Linked DNA regions of Drosophila melanogaster. The protein of the gene in region 2 interacts with the protein of the main gene of each other region in a pairwise test. Each region holds a gene or a part of one and is shown on either strand. Other genes may lie near its edges. The genes, in order: CG13962 and tpr.

What was found.
Region 1: the proteins of tpr (region 2) and CG13962 interact in a two-hybrid assay, tested with the Drosophila melanogaster proteins (one large-scale study listed by BioGRID).

What each region holds. Positions count from the first base shown.
Region 1 is NT_033779.5:19,813,198-19,816,389, forward strand, and holds CG13962 (uncharacterized protein), read right to left. Parts: upstream 1,336-3,192; 5' UTR 1,277-1,335; intron 1,217-1,276; 5' UTR 1,121-1,216; coding exon 662-1,120; 3' UTR 507-661; downstream 1-506.
Region 2 is NT_033778.4:21,798,651-21,802,908, forward strand, and holds tpr (tracheal-prostasin), read right to left. Parts: upstream 2,255-4,258; 5' UTR 2,182-2,254; coding exon 1,381-2,181; intron 1,316-1,380; coding exon 998-1,315; 3' UTR 680-997; downstream 1-679. Other genes in the region: CG18735 (uncharacterized protein), read right to left, coding at 1-516.

The DNA.
Region 1 (3,192 bases), on a different chromosome or scaffold from region 2:
TGAATTGGTTGTTCCTAATTATACCTGTTACTCGTAGAGTATACTAGATTCGTTGAAAAGTATGTAACAGACAGAAGGAGGCGTTTCCGACCATATAAATATAAATATATATTCTTGATCAGGATCAAGAGCCGAGTCGATCTGCTTGTAAGATTGTACCTATAACCATATTGTAACTCTAAAGGCTAAAAGGTTGAGATTCAGAGTACAGATTCTAGAGATTCATGTTGCCACGCCGCACAACCGCACAAAACTATCACGCCCACACTTTTGAAAAATGTTTTGATATTTTTTTTAGTCTTGTAAATTTCTATCGATAATTTAATACATTAGGAAGTAGGATCTCGATCCATAAGAAATGAACATTGATTTTGCCATGAATTAACATTTATTTCCAAGTCTTCAAAGTCCATGAAAATATGAGTATTTACTACTAAAAATACACTCAATGTTGGATTAAATCTAAAATTATTCCAAACATCTCTTATCAGTGAATAATGCGAATTATCTCTTATATGAATTATGCAGATAATATTTTAAATAAAAATAATCTCTCTTTCGTTGCCAACCATGACAACAAATTGTGATAACAATATAATGTCATATTAATCCACTTCTAATTTTCATTCCATGTTGTGTAAATCGTTTTATTGACTTAAGCTTAGTACCTATCCTTGAAGCTCATGACTTTCATAAAGAGAGCTTCGTGCTGCTGTATATCAGTGGAAGCGATGTATTTGTCGATCGCCTCGAGGAGCTCACTTTCCCGAGCTATTGTGGTCGGAGACAACATGGCTTTCATTTGGGTGGCACCTTCGACAAACTTATTGTGGAGTTTCTCATTCTCATTGGCGAATTCAGTGCTAACGCCCAGTAAACCCAGCAGGCTCATTCCAATCACCTGGGATTCAGGTGCCGATTGACTCAGCTCGCTGTTGAGTCCCTCGAATACCTGTTGCAGTTCGTAGATATAGTTATATTTCTCGCCAGTTGTGCCTCGCTGTTTGAGACTCTTGCCCTTGTTGGCATAGGCCTGGAGGGCAGCCGTTCCCGGTCCACGTTGTTCAAGCGGAACTGTGTCCACAACTTGTTGCACGAATTTGATGGTGAGTGACATCATATTATGGATTTGAATGCCACGGAGGGTGTCAGCATAGTCAAAGAAATGAGCTAACATCTCGTTTTGCGATTTCGCAGGAGCAGCACACGAAAGGCTCTATGGAATATCCGTTGGGTTAAGACAATGAGATCCGACTTTTTCAATTTTTTTACTTACTACAGCAGCTATGGCAAATACTATAAGCATACAACGCATCTTCAGCAAGTGATTTAATTCGACTCAAATAATTTTGAGCAGAGATAGGCTTTTTATACACATGTCGTTATCAGTGAGTCGTTGATTTCTTTTATGAATTACTGTGTTTTTAAGCTGGCTCACGAGATAAAGTAAATGCGATTAGGAACTAGAAAGGAATATTGAATATATTGTATTGAACTTTTGCTATAAAGTCTGGAGAGATATTCCCACGGAATAGTGCAGAAAAGGGTCTGGCTACTCATTGTATTAAGATACAAATGATTTAATTATTAATGACAATTACTTTCGAATACATTCAATATAAACGCAGATGTGTATTCACGGTCAACGTGAAGAAAGGTGGCTGATGGAGTGTATAAGAAGGTGGTTATGTTTATTGTTAGCTTGAATACCAAACGAGACCATCATTGCAAGGAATATGGATATGGACGTGACAAAGTATTTGACTTATGATAGTTGGCTCGTAAAATCTTACTTGGAAACCCACTAGCCGATTGACCAGAGATTGCTCCCTCTGATTACTATTTTTCCTCACGATGGCTCATGGGCTGGCAGACTTCTTCGTTTATGATGTAGTCAAAAATGGATCGGTTCATGGATAGCAGAATCCGGGATTCGACAGGAAGATAACAAAAAGTAGTGGCTAGCGAAAAAGAAAATACTTTTAATGATTTAAATGTATAAAAAACTATTGGGTCCAGTCCATAGACTATCAGATTCCATTTTAACCAATTCAGGCAACTATAAAATTAAAAATCAATCAGTAATAGGTAACAGAATTGACAAAGCGATTGATCAATTCAATTTTCCAAATCACTTGACAACGCGACGAAGAAGACGAAGGCTAAACAATTTTCGACAGACAAAACCAGCTAGCTAGCTAGCTTGCCTCCGCCCAAAAGGAATAGAATCGATGCGAAGAGGCAAGGCAAAGGACACTTTCGCAATGTCAGCAGGAAACTACAATCCTACCATTCGAATTTGCATGTAAAAGGGCGAGATTGTTTTAAACGTCAAGCGTGTAAGACTTTTCCCAATAAAGAAGGTTGTAAAGAGAGCATTCTTCACTAATGTTTATAATTAAATATTTATTATTCAGTTGGGCCGAAATCCCGGCGGTACTGCAATACCGGGCCAACCCGTGACAGAGGTGGAGCAAGCCCCTAGCACTCCGTCTGATTCCAAAAATCAGTTTAACATTTGTTGTCCTCCAATGGAGGAACTATCAGATGTTAAGCTGATAAGAACAGATACTACACTTTGATCTTAGCCATAAGGCCGAGAAGCGATAACTACTCCTTCCCAGGACAAAGGACTTCATGCGACTGCAGCTAAAATCAGTTGGGAATTACTTTACTTGCAGACTTCAGAATCGAATATAGTTATTGCATATTTCAGGGAGGGTTTTTACTCACATAGCAAAGGTCCTTGGATAATCTGGTGAGATAACATTCAGGTATAAATATACACATGTCAGTAATTAGGATAAGTAAATGGGTATTATTCTGTTATTAAATGAAATAAAGTGTCGCTACCAATATAAACATGCCTAATATAAACATGGCGACCACGTTAATACGGACAAACGGATGGAAGGACTTGGCCAGACACGGCTAGTTATTTTGTATCAAGAATATATTTATATTTATAGGGTCGGAAAGGTCTTCCTCTACCTGGTAAATAATATTTATCGAATCTGTTGTAATCTGTTATTCTAAGTGTAAGGGGTATAAATACCTATAAAATTTTATGTAACTACCCTTCGAAATATGATATCTAGGTAGCTAAGACAGATGTCTTGAGGTGAGTTTTTAATCCTACCCAATTGACACTTAAAATTCCCAATTCCTTCTGGCCAATACTGATCCTAGAAG
Region 2 (4,258 bases):
AATGTCACTGTCAAAGTTCCTGGTGCTGTACTTCGGGTGGATGAGCACCCTGGAAACCCGGCGATCCACGATCTTGACGTGGCTATCCTGACGATTATGCTCCAGCAATCGGACCGTGATCAAACGATGGTAGAAGCCATTTACACAATGGGCAGCGGTTAAGGCATACTGATCGTTAACCAAAGAAGCGCCGCAATAGAAATTACCGAACCACATGAGCATTATCATCCAGGGATACTCATGGACCTCCGTCTCCTGACCTCCGACGATGCGATGACGAGTATTGATATTACCACAGGAGCACTCTGCGCACTCCCTTTTGGCCGGAGAGCTCCATTCGGCTGGCACCTCGGGTCCCAGGATCGATTGAATCCAGTCCAGAAAGCTACTCTGCCTTAGTTGAGCTAGATTGTTTAAGATCTTCTCAGGATCGGAGGCGGAACGCAGAGAGGGCGTGGCACAAGCCAAATCGCCCAGTGCTGTGGCAAGAATCAGCAGAAGATGAAAATTACACATGGTGTACTAACCTGGCCAACTGGCAATTGGCAACTAACCAAATGGATCCTGGCCACATCCAGCAAGAAGACTGATGAGAACCAGAAGTGCTAGCCAAGCCAAAGAACTGGCTAGACCAGAATCACCAAAGGAAACCGGCTCCCGAGAAAGGTTAGCGCACTTTATGGAAACTTTTCTTTTAATCAATAAATATAAAACAGCTTGAAAATGGGATCTTCGACGAAGCCGAAGTTGACTTACTCTTGCAAGGGTGGCAAAAAGTTTTGGAGCATATATCCCAAGAAATTGCATAGTTATTTTCGGCGAAAATAGTTCGTTTCTTGGCATATGAGATTAGTGATTTTGGAAATAACAAGCTTTTTGTAATGAAAACTTGTCTTTCACATTGGATGGAAGATACAAATTCTGATATAATATTAAACATTGCCAGCCAAGCAAGAGTATTGAACTATTAATAGATACAGAAATAGCCAGATGTTCGCTACTTGATCTTCTTGGTCTCCTGCTGGCAGAGGCAAGCCTGTTTGGTGAGGTTCTTGATCCAGGTTCCGTAGCGATTCACTCTGGCATAGACGCCAGGATAACCGGCCTTGGCACAGCCCTCGCCCCACGAGACAACGCCGGCGATCTGATGCTCTCGCGTTCCGCTGGCCACGATGTGCAAAGGACCTCCACTGTCGCCCTGGCACGAGTCCTTGCCACCCTCGTCGTATCCGCCACACAGCATGTTATCCGTGATCTTGTTGCCATAGCGACTCTTGCGACATTCGTCCTGCGATAGAATTGGCACTTGAACCTCCTGCAGAAAATAATATTCAGATATATTTATATTGCATTTTATACTCCAATCTTAAATTGGCTAACCTGAAGAGTATCGGAAGTGGGTCCACCAACTTTGAGCGCTCCCCAGCCAGTGACAATGCCATTCTCGCCCTTGAAACTTCTGCCCGGCGTTGGCATACAAACGGGATGGAGCACCTCGTTGAACTCCACCGGCTCATCCAACTTGATGATGGCTATATCGTTGTCATAGTTCCGGGCATTATACTTGGGATGCGTGATCACCTCGGCCACCTTGCGGTCGATCTTTTGCATGTGCGACATCTTGCGGTCATGTTCGAGTAATCTCACCGATATTCTTTCCTTTCGAAAGCCATAGACGCAATGCGATGCGGTCAACAGGAATTGATCGTTGAGCAAGGAGGCGGCGCAATAGAACCTTCCGCCATATAGCAACATAGCCACCCAGGGATACTGATGAACCTCCGTTTCCTGACCACCGACTATTCTCTTCTGTATATTGGCTATTCCGCAGACACAGTCGCTGCAATTCCTTGGCGGATTCAAAGTGGGTGGGGCCGGAGTGGTTGCCCTTCTCGTTGTAGTGGTGCTGGAAGACGGGGCTGGTGTGGTGGTTGATGTGGTAGATGCCGCGTCCGGCATCATAGAGCTGCTGCTCAAGGTGGCCAGAGTGGCATTTTCCGAATCCGAACTGCCGGGACGTTGGGGCAAAAGTGAGAGAACCCATTGGATAAATGTGTTCTGAGATTGTTTCAGCAGCGGACTCGCTGCCGTTTGGTTCGTTGCACGATCCTGGCTGGCTGATTGGCTTGGACCGCAGCTTAAGGCCAGGCAGATCAGCAGACACAACCAGGCTCGATTCATTTCTCTAGACTTTTTCCGGCTTTCTCCACAGCGACACCACCGATTCACTCGCGTGGCTCTCGGCGAACTGATCGCCCAGCCGCTTGGCCAGCATTTGAAAGCGGCATTTCACCCAAAAAAAAGTGGTTCTGGCCGGTGGCACGTCCACTTTGCCAATCCAATCCGCACAGAGAGAAACATAGGTATACTCTATAAATTTATTTTAGCCAATATTGAAGCGTTCTAGATATTATAAACGACTAAAGAATATAAAAGAGATTCTTATGAGAGCGATACCAATATCTAGCGTAATAATGTACAGTATTATTAAACATATATCAATGGTATTGGCTGTACACTTGTATGTACATTTTTCAGTTATTTTATAAAAAAATATATACTTTCCAAACTTGGTGAGAATTTCTCGCGGTGCATTCTCGCACTCCCCTTAAATTTGCATTTGTATTCTGCGCATGCGTGGGTGCCTCAGGGCATCCACACTATCCACCGCTTGACCATGATACTTCACTCGGTTGGCTGGCAAGTAAAACTCAACAGAATCGAAGCCACTCATCCACTAAAGTGGGCTTTTGTTGTAATTTGCGCCACTGAAGTAGCGAAAGTTTTTTTCTCGCTTCAAACTTATTGAAATGAATTTTTTTTTTTGCTTCTTTTCCGTCCAATCGATTGCTCGGCGACGCATCGTAATTTTACTTTCTTTTGATTTATATTATTGGGGCTACTTCTCGGCGATTTTGTGGGTCGGCTGGTACAGTGTTTGTGTGTCGACAGCTATAACAGCTGACAATAAAAAAAAAAAAAAAAACAGCAACAATGCCACTGACAACAATAAATTTGTGGCACTGTTTACATTTACATCGTTTACGTGGTTGGCTTTGCCAATTTGGCCGACTCATGGGGCTTGGGGCGTTTTAAAAACAGGCAGATATGTGGGTTAAGAACTGTGATCTTACGTAGAGGAATTCCAAATGGATTCAAGTCTTATTCAGTAGTTTAAATATATTGTTTTCTTTGTTAGATTTAAAAAATTACATTTTCCTTTAGCAAACCCTGTTGAGTTGAGTTCCAACATTAATTACCCTTTTAGCTTCCCAAGGAGAAGAGCAATCGTCATAAAAGCAAAAATAAACTCCCACAAGACATGAAACCGTCAGGCTGGACTTTCCTCCCAGCAGAGATTAACGATGCAGCCGACTTGTGGCATCCGCACGTGTCCACTCCAGTCGTGAGTCATATTGGTCATGGGCTTAAGTAGCCCCATTCCACTGGATCATTAAAAGCAACTTGTAGGGCTATGGAGGCGGCGCCGTTGCGCCTGCGCCACTTGGATGACCGGCCATTGATGGATGGATGGTCGAGGAGGGTCTGCCCTGAAAGGAGGGGCGGAATCGGAGGAGGTCTCCCCGAGGAGTCGCCGGTTGGAGCAGTCATTAGTATGCGCACACATAACACTTGGCATATTAATTGTCCGCGTAATGTTGGAGGCAGATGCAGTTCGAGTGGAGCTACATGGAGTTGCAGTTGCGAATGGATGGTTGGGGCATGGGCTTGTGGATGATGATGATGACGAACTAATGTCAGTTCAGCGGACACTGCGCACTAGAGATGCAAATCTCAACTTTTCGGAAATAAAATTAGTATCTCAGTTTGGGTACTTAAGAGTATATATCACAAAATGTTATAAAGGCAAATAATGGTAACATAATATAATGACGGCAACATAATAACGATATTCACCATTGTTTGGAAAATTCGCTATGGTATGCTGAACTTGATGAAATATGCCAATTTAGCGCGTGGTTTTAATTGAATTCCTGGTGATTTTTCACTTTTATTTTAATAGATCGTTAGCATCACTGGTGGGCAGCCATCAAAGGCATAGTCGGTTGCATTGCCCAACCGCAGTGCACGCAGTTAAAACAAAGTGCCATTTGCATAATGCCCCGGCTAGACAAAACCGAATGAAAAATACGGGGGGAAAAAAACGGCCGAACAAGTTGCATGTGTGAGCACATCTATATGTTAAATGGGAGTGGGGTTATTTACGATCCCGAGGAAGGGACCTGCACTTGGCGAC